2 linked regions of the Drosophila melanogaster genome follow. The protein of the gene in region 1 interacts with the protein of each later gene in a pairwise test. Each region holds a gene or a part of one and is shown in the gene's direction. Other genes may lie near its edges.

Region 1 (10,680 bases):
AAAAGGCACCACTTTACTGACCCATTTAAATGTGATTTAATTTGATTTCTATATACGCACATGCAGCGCATTTTACTGCCGGCCGACCAATCGACTGGGCTCATCTGGTCATCTGGGGGCAATCAACACATCATCGAATCCGGCCGTCCTCCTCCTAATAGCATAGGCATCCCTATTATCCGTATCCGGCTCATCATCAAACACTGAAGAGAGGAGGTGGAGGAGGGTCAGCCAGCATTATCGTTTGTTTTGATTGGTTTTTTGTTCGCTCCTCTGAGGGGATAATGCTCCACACACGTCCTGGCTTCCTGCTCTCTGATGGGCCGCTTGTTTGTTGTTCGGGCAACGGCAGAAAACATTCATCAATTTCATTATCCCAGGGTGGCTAAAAACCTAAAAACCCGGCACACGGCACCCGGCATCCCGCATCCCGCATCCCTCACCCAATCCTCAACATTGTCAGGTGCTTACATGCGCCCCAAAATAGACGCATGCAGATTGAAATTGATGGCCCGGCAGAGGGCTTATTGCCCCAGCCACTTTCTAATGTTTAAGTTCTCGATTACACGACAAAAGCGGCTTTCCGGCAATTCAGCATTCCAAAAGGCCGGGATTACTATCTGGTGAAAAGTGCTTACCGGTTGCACTTCAAAATGCGATGGATAGCACAACGAAGTTCGGGTATCGGCAGAACATCAGATAAATTGGGGTACATATGGCCAGACGAAGCCGCTTTGCAGCTTAGCTGATAGAGAGCAAATGACAGGCGCCTAAAAAAAGGGTAACAAACTAGACGGAAAATTAGGCAACTAATCTCATTTCTTTACCTTTGCAAGGTAAGTCGCTTAAACTACGCACTGCATGTTTACTTAATGTTATATCACTTGCAAACAAAATAGCTTAAATAACTAATAAATATAAAAAAAAAAAAACAGCTTAAAGCCGACCTTGCGACTAAAAATAAAGAAAACATAATAAACTGCAGTCCATGGTACCAATCTATTAATACGAATACCTCACACACATGCGATTACCTCAAACAATCTCACCCAAATTGGACCAGACTCGACCAAATAAAAATAATACGACTTAGGCTAGGACACACAAACATAACCCACCAACACTACCTAAATCCCAATACAATACCAACTTGTCCGTTTTGTCAAGTTGATATTTCAATAAGCCACATATTAAATTCATGCCTATCCCTCCTACAAACCAAACAAGACATATTTAACAACACCAACCCTCTAGACCTTCTTAGCAAACCCAATCCAGATAACATACAAAAACTCATACTTTTCCTCAAAAAAACCAAATTATACCACAAAATCTAAAAACAAAACAGGCAATTGTACATAACAAGCCAGCAATTAGTTAGCAAATTAGATATAAACTAAATTAAGATATAATAACATTGTAAATAAATATAGTTAGTCTAGTTTTCAAACTATTCTATCTATCATAATAAATAAATAAATAAAAACTAATAAAACGAGAATTTTATGAAAGTATTAAACTTAAAGCCTTTACAACTCAATCTGTAATCATATTCTATTGTATGACTAATGATATTTTTTATTTCAATCGGTCCCTCTTGGAGCCTGATTAAATATATATGTATATATATATTTACCTTAAAACTAGGTGTCACAAGACATTACCAGGATATGTACTGATGCTAAGCCAAAGTAGCAACATATCAAATCACACCCAATCGAAAAATCCCTGCCTGCGGTTGCAAATTTGGCTTACTTCCTTCGGTCCGTGAGACAGCTCGAATAATATGCGACATGCTGAATTGATTGTATTGGCAACAAGTTGGGCCAGGACCCGGCTGTTCATCGATTCGTGCACATACCCACCACCCATGGGTTATCCTTGTGCCTGGCACCAGTCGACATCGGTTTGTATCCGTGTTTTCATCGCCAGCACAGCAAGTAGTTTTTCCCCGATTTTCCCCGTCGCTGGTGCATATAAACAAAGAGCGTTATAATAATACGCCATGCTCGACTAGATTGGGATTGCGCCAAGGAAGGTCGCTGTGGCTTACCAGTTTTCCATATCCACATCCTGTTCTCGTTTGGCTGGATATGTGGCCGAAAGTGGGGGCTGTGATGAAATTTGATGTGACATTGTTATCGCTGCAATACAACCGAACAACTGACAGTTTGTTTCCAGCTAATTGTGGGCCCTGCTCGATTTGTCCGGTCGGCACTCGGGAATTTCACGGGAAGAGAATCCGAACAATTTGTAATTTAAATTAACCAGCTGGCTGTGTTCCGTGTGTCCATTTGCGTTTTGCTCTCCAAGTCCGAGAATCCGATACAAATTGCATTTTTTCGCCGCTCCATCCCACATTGCCATAGCAATTTCGCTACAAAGTTTGGCTCTAAAAGGATCCTTGGTAAATTGTCGCAGAGCGGGGGAATTTTTATCAGCAGTCTTTGTGCAACCTTTGGCTGCATTCGCTGAATGAAGTTATTCAAAGGCTCTTGTTTATTACGCTGTATTTCTGTACGCCATTTTCCCTAAGTCCGTGCCAGCAGTGTCTCCCTGGGCTCGAGTCGCGCGAAAAGTCCGTGATTTGGGTCAAGTTAACATCGTTTCGCCTAAATGGGCCAAGTTGCTCAAGTTTCCCGGCCGCCTGTCATTTGCATCGATAAGCGGAGCTACTGCCCCAGCAGCAATAACAATACGTTCAGTAAGCCAAATAATCGCGTACAACACTCGCAGAAAAGAAGTATGTTATCTAAGCCTAAATGAGTCCTTTAAATCTTTCCCCTTATAGCTTAGTCATTAAGAATTTGGCTCTAAGTTAAGATCAAACTGCAAAATACTTATACAACCATTCAAAAAGGAACAATATATTGTGATCTCAATTTCCTGTTTATCCATCGATACATTTTTTTGGGTAGTGCTCAATCGCACACAGTTGCAGGCGGGGAAAGCAATTTGAGTCCTAATGAGCAGAGCAGCCAACTCACTAAAAAGGAAGGTCAAGTCTTTGTCCTGCCGATAAAAAATGATAAGCCAAAGGCGAAAGCGAAAGCGCTGCCGCAGCTGCTGGTCAAATTGCCGCGGCAGGGGCAAGGACACGTTTTAGTACACTGTTATACGGCCGTAGGACAGTCTGAAGGATACTGAGGCGGCGGGGCCCCACCCACATTTGCATGCGGCGCGCGTTCGCGGGGCTGATTCCTTTTATTTGGCCATTTTGGGGCCCTCGAACTGTGTTGATATTTTATTTTCATACATTTTTATGGGCTAGTAAGCAAATTGTCGGGCGGGGCATGGGCGGCGATGGGCGTGGCAGGGCGGGTGATCCCCGCCAATGATTTTAATGTGCAAGCCGATGATGGATTCAGAAGGCAAAAAGTGTAATTAATTTTAAAGCTCGGTCCCAGCTGAACCGACGATGGAGTACATGAATTGGGCAAATGACGTCCTTGCTTTGCCCGCAAATGAAATTGAACGCCCTCGTTCGGTAATCTCGGAAATAGGATTGAAATCCCGGGAAACTGAACACCCGAACAACCTGCCAACTGCCGACTCATTGTGCGTCAAATTAATGACAAAGTGAAATCCACAAAAAACCAGAACACGGAGCAGAGCGGGTAAAGTTTGCCGCCGTGACAAAGAGCTTTTCAAAACTGCGAGAATCAGCGGCAAGGCGGAAAGTCTACTATAGCTTACCCTATGCGGAAATTCCAGCCAGAGACCATATATGTATATGGTCATGCCACCAAAAACATCTGGACTAACTTAAAACCTAAAATGTTATATCTTTTTTATAATATGTTCCATTTCTCAGTTGGTATTCGTTACTTCCATTTGTTCATAGATTAATACCGAAACATGGGAAACCTGAACGTTACCATTTAATTTCAGCTTAGTGTTCTTCTGTTGCAAACCAAAAACGTTTTTTTCGCTCTGCCCAATCTTCTAAGTAATTTCCAATCCCCACCTGCTGACCACTAGTGGTCCATCGCAAGAATGGCCACAGGCTTTCGTCGGTTGGCGAGCGAATATCCTCGATGGGCGCAACTTTGCGCACGCAACCCGCAAAATTGCGAACGAAGTAAAGGCAGCGGGATTTCGCATTATTCCAAAAATGTTTCAAACGCAAACTAATCCCGGATGCAATTCGGATAGCAGTCGCCGCAGGAGAAGAACCACATCCGCCGCTCCGGATGGAAGCCAAAAGCGAATCTGCAGCCGAACGCACGCAACAGAATCAAAATCACAACCAATTTTGTAATGGCTGCGTACTGGCAAATTTGGCAAAATCCCATAAAATTTGGAAGGATGGTGGGTAGAGTGGGTAGAGTGGTCGGTAGGCGTGCCAATCCAATTGGAAAAATTACAAAACAGTCCGGTCAATTTCTGTCGAAGTGTCGGCATTACAAGAGGTATGGAAAACAAAGCGATACAAGTGGAAAATATGCTGTAAAATTGAACACTGTGCTGTGGGCAATTTTAAAACAGACGCAGTATCTTTAAGGCTCGGGCTCACCTTTTTCCTGTGAGATCCTGTGTGTGAGTGTGTGTATCCCCGTGGGTCCCTGACCTTTAGTTAACTTTTCATAATCGATGAGCTGGCGCATCTCATACAGGGAATGGCGGTCCCAATCACGCTCACTCCCACTTCCATGCCGAAGTCAACCCCCCAGACACAATAAAGGGTTTTCAACTTTGACCCTAGCCTTTTTATACTCGTATTCGCATATCCGCCCCTACCCACAGCAATAATAGCAAGTGTGGCTGGCGCAAAGTTTTGGCAGTCCAAAGTAGCTCAAGGAATATATTTTTTTAGGCCCAGCCTGCCGTTTCCGCCCTCTTCTCTCCTTTTTTTATACAGCCCCCTAGGGTGCGTCTGTGTGTGCCGCCGGATGGAATGTGGAGCGAAAAGTGTTTTAAAATGGGGATGCCCTGCTTTAACATAATGACCAACATTTCCAAGAGGTGAGTGCAAATGCTAGGCTGTTATTAGAAAAAAACAATGTAGCGAACGAGGAGGTATCCCCAAAGAACATAAAATAATCATAAGCATAATGAACGGGTTAGTATCTGTGGCTAAGGTTGCATAAATCTTAAGTTTTTAATTTACTTTTTCACACAGGGCCTGACCAACTTCAGATTGTTTAAGCTTGGCGCCCACTTTTATGGCAGTCAGCTTGTGCAAGAGACATAATAGTGTGACCTTAATTCTGTTTACCGTACCAAATTTAGTATATTTACTCTGCACTGTAATTTAAACTAATTTTATTATAGGGCAACACAAATAATATTTTTATAAAAACTGTAATTTGTTTTTATGGCTAGATATACAATAATTAAATCGTAAGTATGTCCTGTCATGTGCGTAGTAAGAAATAGTTAGAACTCATTACACTAATAAGATAGAATGAATTGAAACTTCGATAAACTTCGGTCGATATAATTTGGCCATCGATGAACGGTCACACTGGCACTGTGCTTGCAAAAATCAAAACAATCCCAAAATTTAAAAACAAATTATCCAACTTGAAGTTATCAAAATGACGCAGGACATGCTGCTGGGCAACGAGGAGCCGAGCAAGAGCAAGGAGACGTTCCTGGAGAAGTTCTGTGTCCTGGCCAAGTCATCCACCGGCGCCGCTTTGCTGGATGTGATTCGCCAGGCCCTGGAAGCCCCGAATGTCTTTGTTTTTGGCGAATTACTGGCGGAGCCATCCGTTTTGCAGGTGCGTCCATCAATGAAACACATTCTGGCAGTAACTTACCAACCACAAAACCACACATAGCTTAAAGACGGTCCGGACTCCAAGCACTTCGAGACCCTGAACCTATTCGCATACGGCACATACAAGGAATACCGTGCACAGCCGGAAAAGTTCATCGAGCTGACTCCTGCCATGCAGAAGAAGCTGCAGCACCTGACTATCGTCTCGCTGGCCATTAAAGCAAAGAGCATTCCCTATGCCCTGCTGCTCAGCGAACTGGAGATCGACAACGTCCGCCACTTGGAGGATATCATCATAGAGGCCATCTACGCGGGTGAGTTCGCCTAGGTGGATAGATTCAACTAGGTTTCAACTTTACAGCCCCGATGTAGTCTATACAATGTTGCATTACTTTTATTTGCGCAAAACTCATATAAAACAGTTGTTTCCACCTCTCAAAAGTCAAAAAAAAAAGTCCCTTTTCGCATGAAATCGATTTCACGGTTACTAGGGCATTCAACAAAAAAAGCTTTCCTCCTTTTCCTTTTGGGTTAAAAACGTATTCATTTTTCAGCTGAAAGTCCAGCCAATTCAGTGCCAAGCTGACAAATCTCGACCCTGCCTCGCTCCTCAGCTTGCATTATTAAATCAAATGCTAATTTTTGACTACTTCTCACCATGGAAAGGGCGCCTCCTCGTTCAATTAGCATTTTTCAGCAGCTGTACACCTGCGCCGGCGGCCCAGCAGCTGTGAAAGCAGTAGATTCATAAAGTTGTGCTGCCGTCTAGCGCCTCCCATTCCAGACCACCACACCCCGGCCACCGCCTTTGGGCAGTGCACTTGATTAGCCGGGACAGCTGGCGCATCCTGGCAAACGAAAACAATTGGGCGAAGAAACGAGGATTATGCTCGGCAAGATTCATTAAGCCACTCGTTATGGCGCCCCACCAGTTGATTCTGCCCAACTCATCCCCGCGGGGAAACAGTTTTTACTGTTGCCGACGTCGTCAGCTGGATGAACACTTTTGCCTCGATGATTTCCTTTTTGAGCTCACGCCTCAGTGGTGGCCGCCTACAATCAAACTTCGCTACGTAATTGCCACATAAAAAGTTTGCTCCAAGCGTAAGGTGAGGAATCACAAATCGTAAATATTTCCAACTGTGGGAAAATCTTTTGTCAAGATGCTGACCATTAGTAGTTTTGTATGTACCTAAATAGGAGTAATTTGATACGATTACAATCAGTGCATACAATTCTTAGAATCCTAATAGAGACTTGTAGCCTAAATTGTGCATTTGAAACTAACAGGCAATTAGCTGTTGCTATGACTCGCATATAGGAGACGATTGTTGGTAGATGATGTGCATAATTTGCCCACTGTTGCATAGAAACTTGAAATCCATCACTGTGCGCCGGCACAGCTGCATATTTACACAATTTGCACTTGTAGTTCCGGACCGAGGACCCAGTCTGCATTGTATGTCTGCTGAAAGCCTTAAATCAAACGCAACACCCAGAAGCCGGGGCCCAAATATCGCACTCGGAAACATCGTCCGTGTAAGCATACTTAGGGCCCTCGAATGTGGTGCTAAACTTGTTGGTGCTGTTGATTTTTGAGCTTTGGCCTGTGATCTATGGACCGGAATGAAAACAAACAGAGGCTGTGCTATATGGGGCTGGAAAACGAGCCTTTCAGGCGGATTTTTGGTTAGTCCTGTTCGGTTTTCAGCGGCTCCCGACAAGTGCCCACTCGACGTATGAAACAATCTAAACATACGTACCAGAACATTAGCGCTGGATAAGCAAATAGCGTGCAGAAGTTTTTAATGGACTCTTGGACGTCCATTATGTAAGCAAATAAAGTGACAACTCAACGCCATCTGCTCCTCGCAACATCGTCTCACCTGCCCTTCCTAATTGCTTTCCAAATCCAGGCAATGAACAGACAAATAAATTCCCCCGCCCCAGCGAAGATTTATGTTATGATAGCCATCATTAGAGCATCATTGCGGGTGGCAGGAGGCCAAGTGCCAGATGTCTGGCGGAATGCGAAATCATTGCGTTCTATTAGGCGCCGTAATCTGACATCGCAATTTAATGTAGTTGGCAACGGAGCGGGGCCTCCATTAGCCGGCGGGCAGGTTGAGTGGTTCTCTCGTCGCGATTCCAGGTCATCCCATTAGAGCATCATTTGTCTACCAGGACGCTGGGTTGGGGATATGGTAATTAAATGCCTTCTAGAATTCAAATTCGCCAGAAATTCATTTCGGCTCGTTCCATTAGTGGGACAGCTCTTGATTGTTTCGGCTTTGCTCAGTGTTTGGTTTACATTAATAGTACCTAAATTTATTTCAGATATAATAATAATAAGTAATAATAATAAGTATTCCCTCAAGTTAAGTTTTGTTACCTCTGAGGATATTTAGACAACATCATGTGCTTTAACTTGTATTTTAGTTCTTTGCTCTTTCTTTCATAGCAGTTCTACGAATGTTAATTAAGTTGTAAAAATAAGAGTAAGAGTGCGGATAACCGCCCTCAAAAATGTATTGTAAGCGAGAGTCTTTGGCATCTGCTCCTAAAATCGATAAGTCGAGCATTCCCCACCAGAACAGCCTCTGTGGTTTTCAATCTCCCAGGCATTTTCAAATATTTTCCCAACTGCTTCGAACTACTTTTTATGCAATAACATCCCGGCACCAGTAGCTGTATGCTGGGAATCGCACGAATATAAGCAAAACAGTTTGTGCACTCATGTCGAGGCGAGAGTGGTGGTTCGGAATGCCACCGAGTTCACCGAGGATTGCACCCTCGCTGTTGCCGTGTCGAGTTGCTGGGATTTACAGAATGTGTCGCAGAATGCGCCTTCTTGATTTTAGTTTTTTGGTGCACTTCTTTAATTTCTTTTGTGTGTCAAAGAAAAGTTTCGCATAATTCAGGGTGCTTAAGAGCGGCTTTTGAAGTAGCTTTCCACCGGGCCGGGGGATTTGCAATTCTGAGAGAAGTGGGATGAATTTGTTTGGGGGATGCACGGCGAAGTACCAAAGCGCTGGCCACTTGTGCATAACATTTTCTGAGTAGGCCGCAAAAAGTGTAAGCCCCTTTCGCAATCGGTTAATTAACAGTGTTCCAATGACGGGAACACTGCATGGAAAGCGGCTTTTATCCTCTGAAAAGCTGTTACATCAAAGGCCAGTTTACCTTAATGAACAAGCCGCGACCTTGCCGCAGAGCCGAGTACCCAAAAGAGACGCAGTTCGGACATAATTTGCTGCCCCCGCTCTAAATCCGGACGTATCCGTCTCCTCGGGACCCGCCGATTTTGCAGCTGCTTCTGATTGCATAGATTTCGGCGCCGGGAGCCCATTGCAGTGGGTTGCCCGGAAAACTTTGAGAAGGGCGAGTGTCTGTGGGTGGCTGCGCTGAGCACTTTGTCAGTTTTAGGTGAAAACTTTGCAGCAGCTTTATATTGATGGCACAAGTTTCCAGTCCGCTAGCTTGCGGTTGCAGCCCCGGGGTTCCCAAAAGAGCTGCTGCACTATATCAGTGAGTAAGGAGCTTAAACAACTATTTATTCCTAATTTTATTTGTATTGCGTACGGCAGTTTCCTTAACAATTAAAAAAAAAAAAAACAGAATCTAAATGCGTTCTTGCACGTTTCACTGTTTTGCGAACAGTGTCCATTTTAGGGGCTTATAGTGTCTGAAACAAAGAAAGTCCTGTTTTAATGAGAAGGATTTAATAATTAAGCAATTATAACTGCTGGAAGGCAGACAGCGTAGAAACAAACCCTTTTTCTGGAAACGCCTTTAACAAATTTTATCTTGTGCCGTTTGTCCTCGCCTGCTGCTGTCGTTCGGGTTTGCTCCGAATTTCAATTAATAAATTCTATTTCTCTGGGGCAGGTGGGGAACTGTTTGAAGAGTTGCCTAAGCTGTCAGCGACAGGTCCCCAGAACTCGGGGTCCTAATGGATCCTTTTACTTTTTAATGCGTAAATGGTATGAATACAGGTCCTATAACTTAAAAGTCTGTATGTGAGCCTATATGTCTGCTTCTTTGAGAGTCTTCTTTAAGGTGTATTTAGAACTAACTAATCTAACTTAGGACAGCCGGTTATAGCCTAATCGATGAAGAATTTGGATTTATTTTAGAATTGGATCTGTCTCCTTTACGTGGCGAAGGAAGCGTATAAAAACGGAGTAAATTGTCTTTTCAAACTGCGAATCCTAGAAATGTAACATTCTTTTCATGGCAACTTCAAATTCAAACGCTTTTTTCCCGAGTCACCAAAAGAGCACTCGCCGTGGTGGTCAAATTCCTGAAGGTTTTGTACCACGGACTGCGTTTTTTTAACGTTTCCATTCATTTCCAGATAGCCATAGCCACAGCCACAGCCATTGGATTTTCATCAGCATTTGCCATAGAACCACAGCCGTCGGCGGTTTGACATCATCGCCTTCTGCCGCTTCGAAGATTCATTCTGCTGTCCCTCAACGGCTTTTTCCGCAATTTGCGGGCGGAGCAGTAAGCATGATTGATTGCCCTGGCGTTGAATTTTCCGCACGCGACAGCAGGCGCCCACAGTTTTCACATGGCTGAAAATACAAGACACATGTCAGCGCCGGAAAACCACAGGCAGTTTACAGCACTTGTGGCCAAGGCGTCGCGCAACAGCGGAATCTGAAATTCCCCCATGTTTTCCAATTATTCGAGGCGCACTCGACGGCATCAAATCAATAAGCATTTTTGCGCCAACTCTCCAGCTAATTAGAAAAGTGTCTGACAAATTGTCAACCCAAATCGCAGGGCGTCTGAGCGAGTGGATGCGAGAAATTGAATCTTCGGGCGAATTCCCTGCATATTTGAGTGAATATTTATGACGCGAAGTCGGTGCCATAAACACAGAAACTTGGTCCGCAGACTTCGTCCCCAGTCCGAGTCCGACTTTCCGCCGACTCGCAGACTCAAGG
Region 2 (10,624 bases), on another chromosome or scaffold:
GCGGCTGGACAGGCTGTGGCAAAACGTTGCTGCCCGTGGGAATGGCATAGCCCGGCGGCAGTGGCAGTCCAGTCGATGGATAGAATCCAGATGGATCCTTCTGCACCTCCTGGCCATCAGCAGCAGACCGTGTGGTTGGCTCCAGTTCCGCACTGGGCGGTATATATTCCCTGGGCAGGTGACTCACATCTCCGTTGATCAGGGGCAGAAGTAGGACCACAACGGCCCATGGCTGCATCATCTCGAGCTCCGGTTTGATCTCTGGGAACTTGCACGGCGACGGTGGCTATGCGGCCACGGGCCCCAAATCCGCCATATATAAGACGGCATATCAACATATTACATAAATTCGCGGCCGGCTCATTTCACTTTCGCATTCGGCGAACGGAAATTGCTTTGCATCATCACAAAGGTTCCATAAATAATCGCCAATCCAAAGGTGATCGAAGGTGCGAGGGGAGGTGCCAAAACTGAACTATAAAATTTAATTTAGCGGCCGGATTTTACATAAATAAACTAACGCCGAAATCGAATGTTAAATTCAGCATCGCACAAAGAAAAGAGGCGATAATGAAAAAGATTCAATAAACGAAAAGAAAGAACAATGAAAGGGTAACATTTTATTTGATTTAGATTCAAGTTCTTGCTCAGCTTTATGATGAATATTAAATTTTAAAAATTACTACCTGAAAGCAAAAGGGTGTTAATTAAAAACAGGAAAAACGTCGAGGAGGTTCGTTTTATTTACTGTAATATACTAAATAATGGTTTTGAATGATTTCAAAAAGTCTTGAGTAAATAATTTTTCAGAAATGCCAAGCACTCTCAGAAAATGTATCTGCAAGTCATAGTTTTGAAATACTCAAAAGCTTAGTGTTAAAACTAGGAAAACCATAAAGTTTCATGCTATATTTAAACTAAAAGCTCTTTGAAAATGCTTAAAATAGTCGCAGCTTCCAAGTTTAATCAAAGCTGCAAGCTGTTTATAAAAAGCCCAACTTAATTAAAGCTTTATATTATATTTTTTAACGCTAATACTTAGTTAAAACATTGATGTATGTTAAATGTTTATGTTCTTGTCCTACAGGTTTTAGTGTTAACTAGTCGAAGAATTAAGCTTTTTAATTTTGAAAATTACCATTATAGACTAATGCCAATAAATCTTCTTTACTTTGTATGGACATATCATTCGTATACTTTATTATATTTTTATTGGCTTATAAAGTGCCACCTTTTGTCTACTCTGAAGTATTAAGCACCAACAAGCACTTGCTTTTGACGTTCGATTTTGAAAACGAACCGCACTCAAACCGCATCAAAACCGCAACAAAACCGCACCTAAACCGCAACCAAACCGCACTCAAGTCGCGCGTGGTTTTTAGTACGCTATTTTGGTATCCTGGTCCGGAATTTTGATATAAAGTGAATAGGGATACACTTGTTAAAAATTTTATTAATATTAATATTAGACGCTTGTTTTTATAACTCTGAAACCCATTTTAAAAACAAAAGTATTTATTTGGATTATTGATGTTTCGGTTTATTTCGTTGTAAACAAAAGTTTACAAAACAAAAAAAAAAAATATATGGTTAATTTGGGCAGTATGTAGTTATGGACACTGTTTCGTGTTCAGTTGCAGGCCTCTTCGTTGAAGATCCCTACTTCCTGTAGACGTAGCCACCGTTGGAGGCGTACTGGGTGCCCACATCCACGGAGGGTGCAGAGTAGCTCACCGATGGGGCGGAGTAGCTGACGGCAGGAGCGGAGTACGACTGCTGGACAGCAGGGGCGGAGTAGCTGACCGATGGAGCGGAGTACGACTGCTGGACAGCAGGGGCGGAGTAGCTGACCGATGGAGCGGAGTACGACTGCTGGACAGCAGGAGCGGAGTAGCTGACCGATGGAGCCGAGTAGCTCACAGAGGGTGCCGAGTAGCTAACAGAGGGGGCGGAGTAGGTCCTCTGGACAGCTGGTGCGGAGTAGGTCCTCTGGACGGCCGGTGCGGAGTAGGTCTGCACAGGAGGCAGGTACTCGTTGCTGGGGGCGACATACGACTGCTGGATGGCTGGAGCGGCGTAGGTCTGCTGCACGGCTGGTGCGGAGTAGCTCACCGAGGGAGCGGCGTACGAGCTCTGGACGGGGGGCAGGTACTCGTTGCTCAGGTGGCTAACATCGGCGGCCACGCAGGCGAACAGGGCGAAGGCAATAAGGAATTTCTGCAAGTAGGACAACACACTTCACACATTACAAACACAGCAAATTTTTTAAGCACCGCAAAAAAAAAAAAAATTTTGTCAAATAATATTGTTAAATCGATGTATCCTTGTTTCAAGCTGAACTTGTAATCCTTCACTGACCATCTTGAGTTGAGGTTTCTGCGTTTTCAAGCGACTGTGCTGGATGAGCTAGAGGCTGCGACTGATGCCGGTCCCTACCAGCCGCCAGTCAATTTATAGCTGCCGGCCGTCTTCGAAGAAAAGCCCCGGTTTTGGAGAGCCCGTTCCAACTGCAGCGGTGGCACACCGGCACTAACGGCAGACGCCGGGCAAGAAGAAGAGCAGGCTTAAGCGGCCAGCGGACCAAGAAGAAGCCGCCGCAAAAGACGTCACCATGAAATCAAGACAAACAAACGGCTGACTGGTGCTGAGGGGCTGAGGGGACATAGCCACATAAGTTGGCAGCTAATTGTGAAAACTGTTAAAAAGTTTAAGTATTTTCAATTAAGAATATGCTTCACTTATAATTGTTTATGTACACCAGACCGTTTGCAATGTTCAATTAAGTAGTAGTGGTAGCACAATGCAAAATAAGTAATAATATAAAAGATTTAGATACTAACATTTGAGCTAATCACCTATTTACAACTTAAAACTGCCGACTTGTTAAATATTTACTTACTTCTTAAAAACTGAGTTTTGAAAAAAAAATGGTAACTTGAAACGTTAACTAGCATAGATCATTGGCAGAGCTTACTTAGTTAGATGGTTTTGGCAATAAAATGGCTAAAATGGCAACACTAATCAGGGCGGAGGTTAAAAAGCATATATAGGGAGGGGGCTGGCTAAACTACCAAACGGAAAATCACATTAAAATTAAATTCAACATAAAAATCGAACGAAATCGCACATGCAAACGGGTTTGGCTCATTTACGATATTATATTTTTTTCCATCCACGCAACGGGTTTGCGGCGGGTGAACTACTTTGGGACACCTTTTTGTGGTCTCTTCAATCTGGCTTATTAGCGTCGGACTCAAGGGGAATGGAGGGAGGGAGGGGGGGGGGGGGGGTTTGTGCCGCACAAAGCCCAAAAAAAAGGGGGAAAAAAACTAAGGGGGTTCCACTAATTAACATTCAATTTAACACATTATACACCGGAGCAACCATTTTTCTTGTTTCAACCGCAGAAATGGGCCGGCGCACAAAAAGAGATCCATTTGGCCTCGTTCGAGACACTCGCCCAGATTGATGGCCCCCACAGAACGTCGTGTTTCGAAAAACGGAGCCCCACTCGCACTTTCTAAAAACCCATAAACACACAAAACCCATCAGTGGAGACCGACAGAAGATGGCCTTGAGAACAGACGCCGGCCGCCAGAGTTACGAGTTCCCCAGCGGTCTTTACATAATAAGTAACAACTTTTACTTGCTGCCACATCTCGAGCGTCTTTCCACTGTCCGTGAACTTGAAATGCAGCACAGCCAGAAATTTACAATTCAATAAATTTTTAGCAAGACCTTTGCAATTTTTGAATTAATATTCAAATCCATCAAACGTATTGATTCTCTTGCAACATTGTAGCATAGAAACATAAAGAGTAATTTTTTAAGATTATCTATGTATCATATTCGCAAGGTGGGTAACCTATTGACGATTTATAGCCCGTTCACATATGATTCGCCTGTGATTCGCCTGTGTCAATAATTAAAATCCATTTTTATATCGATTTCATTTATGATCACGTTGATGAATTATCTTCAAGTGTAAAAAAGGCAGGAAATGTCAAGCATGACGATGCCAAGCAAAATGTGATGGAAATTTCAGAGTTCATTGGTGATAACTTAACTTAACCATGGCCATTCTGAGAACTGCAAACAGTTATCCTTTTCAACAAGAGGTAATTAATGTTGGAAAATAGTAATTAATATTTATATATTAAGTACATTCATATTTCAACTTATAAATAAAATAAAGTTTCGATCTGGAATTGTTAGTATTAATTTTTTAACTTAAAACATACATTTTCCGAAAAAAGAAAATATACACAATAAAAACTATATTTCATAAAAATGATAAAAAAACATGCATAGTTAAAAGTTAATATTTATATGTTTATGTTTAATGCAAAATTGATTACTTGAGGCACGACGTGCGGTCATCTGCACCTAAGAATCGATGTCGACAATATCTACTCTAGATATTTATATATTCGAGTCTAGAGTTCCCATCTGCAAGGACATGACAAAGCTCTGGCAACCCTTTTAGCACGTGTCAAAAACTCAAAAAAAAAAGACGATGACTTTGCAGTCTAAAAGTCACATTTCTGATTTGGCGTGAGGACCTCAGTTGATTCACATCTCCAAGCGAATATTACTTAATATTATATTAATTAATATATTAATTTGTAAAGCACAGCATTTTCAAGGTGAGCATTTCAAGAGAATTCTTTTCCACGCACTTTACCCATACAAGTTAATAGGTTTTCCTAACGAAACAATGGATTTCAAGAAGCTGAAGAAAATGGAGGAGGTGGTGCGCATCGGCGGCAAAGGATCTATGCGCCGCAAGCATAAGAGATTCCCATCCTCGGCTGCGGCCGAGAAGCGCGTGCAAGCCACATTGGCCATGTTGCCGTTGAAGAATATCGACGAAATCGAGGAGGTGACCATCGAGTTCACCAATTCCAGTAAGGTTGTGTTAACCATGCCCAGGGTTCAGAGCACCGCTGGCAATTCTTTCTTCGTGGTTAGTGGCGATTTCGTGCGCAAGTCGTCAACAGCTGGCCCATCGAAAGTGGCCAAGGCAGCCAATGCGCCCAAGGCACCCATGCCACCTAAGCCACCCAAGCCGGAAGCTTTTTCCGACAAAAAGCCAGAATCAGAGGAGTCCATTAAGGTGGCCAAGAAGCCCAAGAAGCCGCGCAATCGTGTTCGTCCTCGCAACAAGAAGGTCCAAATGATGCTCTCCAAAAACAAAGAGGACGCAGCCATGGCTGGCTGGGATTCGGAGCCGAAGCTTAGCAATGGTAAACCAATTTTGATCTCCTCTGAAGATGGCAGCGATCCGGATAATGAGAAGGTGCCATCGGATGAGTCTGATGTGGATCGGACCATAGTCTGCGACAAAGATTCGCTGGGAAGCTTCGGCGATGATTCCGACGGCAAGGAGGACGTTGACACTACGGAGTCGATCTACCTGTCCTCCTACTCCAATTACTATTATTTGACGGAGCAGCTCTATCCAAATACTTATCGCGTTCAGGTCTCAGAGGACGAAGATTAGGCATATTCATTTGTTGCTACATTTGTACCAATTTCAAAAATAAATCGTATGAATTGAGAAAGTTGAGACAGAAAAAGGTTCCATATTCTATAGATTTGTACTTTAATCTCTTGGTGTTTATTGAAAGCATTGGTTTTCTCTACACTTATGGAAATTTTAATGATCTATAGTTCCAAAATAAAAAAAAGTTATAAATTTAAGATTATATTAGACTCTGTGGCTCTCAGTTATTTGTCTTAGTAAATATAGCCGCCGTTCGACGCGTACTGGGTCTCCTGGACGGATTTGGAGTAGCTGGCCTGCAAATGGGCAGGAGTAATGGTGTCGGCACCAATGGCCACGGGCACATGGGTATCGGGATTGAACTCCTCGATGCCATTCGATGTGGGTTCCTCGTACAGATGGGCAGGTGTGATCGTGTTCGCTCCAATGACGACTGGGGTTTGTCCCTGGACATAGGCGGCGATGGGTTGGGCGCTCTGGTAGGAACTGCTAGACGATCCGGCCACGATTGTCTTGGCCTGGCTATTAACGTAGCTCGTCTGGGAAACGGCGGATTGATAGGAACTGGAATCTGCCCCAGAAATAGCAGAGGCAGCGGTTGAGGCTACAACCGACTTTTTGAGTTGAGCTGGAGTGTATTCAGCGGGCTGGTAAGAGCTCGAATCTCCTCCGGGAACAGCCGCTCCCTGCTCTTGCTCTTGCTCCTGAATGTACTTGTAGTGGGCCTCTTGAACGTCCTGGGGAATGAACTTTTCAGGGGTGTAGGTATCAGCACCAATAGCAGCCGGAACTGGGGCATAGGTATCAGCACCAATAGCCGCCGGAACAGAAGCCTTAAGATGAGCTGGAGTGTATTCAGCGGGTTGGTAGGAGCTGGAATCACCACCAGGAACCACCTCAGCGGCCTTCAAGTGCTCGGGAGTGTATTCAGCGGGCTGATAAGAGCTGGAATCTCCTCCGGGAACAGCAGCTCCCTGCTCCTGCTCCTGATTGTACTTGTAGTGGGCCTCTTGAACGTCCTGGGGAATGAACTTCTCAGGGGTGTAGGTATCAGCACCAATAGCAGCCGGAACTGGGGCATAGGTATCAGCACCAATAGCCGCCGGAACAGCAGCCTTAAGATGAGCTGGAGTGTATTCAGCGGGTTGGTAGGAGCTGGAATCGCCACCAGGAACCACTTTGGCATCGACAGTGGCAGAAGAGGTCTGCTTAAGATAAGCAGGAGTGTATTCAGCGGGCTGGTAAGAGCTGGAATCTCCTCCGGGAACAGCAGCTCCCTGCTCCTGCTCCTGATTGTACTTGTAGTGGGCCTCTTGAACGTCCTGGGGAATGAACTTCTCAGGGGTGTAGGTATCAGCACCAATAGCAGCCGGAACTGGGGCATAGGTATCAGCACCAATAGCCGCCGGAACAGCAGCCTTAAGATGAGCTGGAGTGTATTCAGCGGGTTGGTAGGAGCTGGAATCACCACCAGGAACCACCTCCGCGGCCTTCAAGTGCTCGGGAGTATATTCAGCGGGCTGGTAAGAGCTGGAATCGCCACCAGGAACCACCTCAGCGGCCTTCAAGTGCTCGGGAGTGTATTCAGCGGGCTGATAAGAGCTGGAATCGACACCAGGAGCTACATCGACTGTCCTCAAGTGCTCGGGGGTGTATTCAGCAGGTTGGTAGGAGCTGGAATCACCTCCAGGAACTACATCGGCTGACTTGAGATGAGCTGGAGTATATTCAGCAGGCTGGTAGGAACTAGCATCGCCTCCGGGCACGACTTCTGCGGACTTTGAGTACTGGTAGGAGCTGGAATCACCACCTTGTACCACTTCCGAAGAAGAGGAGGAGGAGGAGGAGGGAGCAGATGACAAGGCGGTGAGTCCATAGCCTCCATCGGCGGCCAGTCCCAACTTAAGATGACTGACATCGGCGGCGGCAAGGCCGACAAAGGCCAAGGCAATGACGTAGAACTTCTGCAATCGGATTAAGTGGGTGTGGACAAAAGGGTGAGCTTGAGATAGATCAGGGTGGTGGCTGTGTTGACCGCGGTGGTTCCCCCTAGAACCGAAACTTACCATGTTTGGGCCAAATCTGTTGTTCAAAAGAGGGACGTTTCCAGTTTTTATACCCACAAAAGATTATGGGCCTATGCTAATTGGAGTTCTGTTTTGATCATCGCTTGATTTGGTCTGCCCAACTGCTAGTTTTTACCTATTATTAATTTGGGTTGCAAATTTGCATAGGTAGCATAACAAAAGCGGCGATCTTATCAACTTGATTAGAACCTCTTGGCATCCAAGCGCCTTGGCCTTTCCGTCAATTAAATTGTCGTCTGGTTTATACACTGTAAGAAAACTGCTCACATACATGGTAATTTCAAATTATTGGGATTTGGAATCAAAAGATCAACCGACATTGTGCTTCTTAGAATGAACTGAACTGATCGTTGCATTGGTTTTAAACATTTAGTTTGACAATTTAATGTTAAATAATAATATATCCTTCATTCATTTTTGTCTGTGTACTACAGTTGTACATCCTACAGATAGTATGCTAAAGCGCTTTTTAGCGCCTGGCAAGTTCAGCTGGGTGTCATAATCGGCTTGGTCCGGCAACCAGTTCTCCAACTTTGGCCAACAGTCTTAGATATGCCAATAAGTCTGCTAATTGGGCTTGGGGAAATCAATCGATGGATGCCTAAACATAACTATTTTGGTTAATTCGTATGACACAAGAGCGAACATGCTGTATACCCCGTAAAAGTAAAGCAAATAAGGTATACTCTTAATTTAATTTAATTATAAGTAATTCAGTGTGCCAACAAGAAATATCCAGTTTTGAATTAGTTACGCAAACATTTTGGCTGAATGAATTATAAAGATAACCTTTATATAAAGTTTCGGCAAACATTTTATGGGTAAATTTATTCGCTTAAACACGGTTCAGCTGATTTTATGGATCTCATTCCGCAAAATTAGCTTATCTTATTAACTTACTGACTTTCATAATAACGGTTGAAAGTGTGCAAAATCTCCAAAATACTTTGAAGCCAAAAGTGGAGCAATATAATAAGAAGACAAAAACGAGGTATTATATGACTACCGGATTCAAAAGTTCTGGCACACAAAAATCTAGCATAATTAACGAACATTGAACTGGGAGGGAAAAATTCGAAACTCGTTTATACCAAATCGGATATTTGTTTAATGATTGATTTTGTCAAAAAGATGAAAATAGATGGTCCGTCAATGGAGCTTATAACTTAATTGTATAGAAAATGTCTGAATTACTAATGATTGTGGCGATATTCAAATAATCATTATAAAAATTTATTTTTTATTTAAATCGGTTTACTTTAAATTTATAGGAAATAAATTATAATGTATTTTTTTTTTAATATTTGCACATACATTTGGTTGATGATGGCAATCTATTGGGGGGCTAGAAATAAAATTAAATTAATTTATTCAAAAAATGGCCATTTGCATGCTAATATTAAAACTGTCTAATAAAATATTACTTTTGTTAATTTATGTATGCTATATGTATGTTATGCCTAATATAAAAATATATAATTGCTAATAAAGCTCTTTAGTTATAGTTCCTATTTGAATATGTATTAACATATTGTAACTTTCCTACCATTTCTTTTGTTATTCCTACAGATTCATTGTGTTAATTATGTACATTTTAGATTTGATCGGACCTATTTTTACAGCACTTTGTCGTCCCGAAAATTGACTAAGAAAAAACCAGGAATTATATTTTAAGACTATGCTAATTTGTAGACCTGGCCAATGTTTTTGGCTAACTCGATTCGAGTCGTGTCTAGTATGAACCACTCCGAATGACTGAGATTCTTCGGCGATTCGCTTCGAAGCATCCAAACTCGTTTCGATCATCAACTTTAGGCCTGAAAATGTTCAAACTTAATGTCTTGCCATGTCTCTGGACTCCAGTTTTATTTTTGTTAGCCCATTCTTTGTCTTAATTGCGAAAATTTATGCTTTGAGTGCTGTAATTAAAAAGCAAGAACACGATGAAATATAAGCTTTAAATACATGTATGGCCTTTATGTAAAACAAATGTCAAAGCCAGACCGAAAACGAAAATCAGGTTGAGCGACTCAAGATTTATACATACGTGTGTGGTTAGATCTAAAATGTATGTTTTTAAGTCAATAAATATTTGTTTTCGTTCTTTCTCTTTTGTTGCCAAACAATAGATCAAGTTTGAAGCAGTGTTTATTCATTTATTGATATTGATTATGCATTTGTGAGGCAAAACTCGTTGGTGACTTAATAGAGGTGTGTATTCCAGATGGGAGCTCAGCCCTCAAGTATTTTTGCTTCCTCTTGGACTTGTGATAAAAAACAGATAAAAAAAAAATATATATATATATATTATTATCGAAATTATTAATCTGGAGTTACACAGATCTGATGTTAAGAGAAATTAAAATTAATTTTGCAAATAAACAAACTATCATATTAAGTATTTTAAAAAATTGCAATTTAATGCAAAAGAAAAATATCTATAAAAATGTAATCTATACTTTTGGTTTTCTTTCAATCATTGCTTTTCTCACAGTTCGAGGTTCCTATACCAGACACTTTCGGTTTCGCCATTGATATAGTTGAGTATCTTCTGGTAGCCGGTGTGGTTGGCTCTTTAAATATTTGTGCAGTTCACTTGCTTGAGGATGATGGCAAATATTTGGCCGGGGTCTCGGCCCTCGCCAGTGGCCATAAAACAATTGCGGAACCAGCGAAAAGACGCGACAAATTGTTTGGCCCAACAGCAAATGCAATCGCAACTTGCGAACTGGAGGCTGGACCCCTTTTTGGAGCCCCACGGCCCACCATCGTCCCCTTTTTGAAGGCACACATGAATGTTGGGCACACATGGTTTACCATGTATTTCGGCCACGTCTGGAGTTCGAATCAGCGACGATCGTTATGAGAAAAACGATGCTTGAATAAGACAGGCACGGTGAGCTCTTAAATAACGTTTGCCGAATTGCATTTCAGTTAAACAATTTTGCAAAAGCCCACAAAACGTTGTTTACACGCTGCCTTTGGCCAATTCCCCAACTGGAAAACTTGAGATGTGGGTGTGTGCCTCCAT

Evidence for each region.
Region 2: the proteins of CSN7 (region 1) and betaNACtes1 interact in a two-hybrid assay, tested with the Drosophila melanogaster proteins (one large-scale study listed by BioGRID).

Annotation. Positions count from the first base shown.
Region 1 is NT_033778.4:8,415,571-8,426,250, forward strand, and holds the start of CSN7 (COP9 signalosome subunit 7), read left to right. Parts: upstream 1-5,462; 5' UTR 5,463-5,540; coding exon 5,541-5,726; intron 5,727-5,786; coding exon 5,787-6,039; intron 6,040-10,680. Other genes in the region: CG43296 (uncharacterized protein), read right to left, coding at 1,703-1,967, 2,054-2,136. UniProt on the Drosophila melanogaster protein: Component of the COP9 signalosome complex (CSN), a complex involved in various cellular and developmental processes.
Region 2 is NC_004354.4:14,166,564-14,177,187, reverse strand, and holds betaNACtes1 (Nascent-associated complex beta-subunit-like, testis 1), read left to right. Parts: upstream 1-4,563; 5' UTR 4,564-4,646; intron 4,647-4,700; 5' UTR 4,701-4,717; coding exon 4,718-5,503; 3' UTR 5,504-5,701; downstream 5,702-10,624. Other genes in the region: CG11581 (uncharacterized protein), read right to left, coding at 1-241; CG1368 (uncharacterized protein), read right to left, coding at 1,660-2,217, 2,359-2,361; CG12480 (uncharacterized protein), read right to left, coding at 5,740-7,575.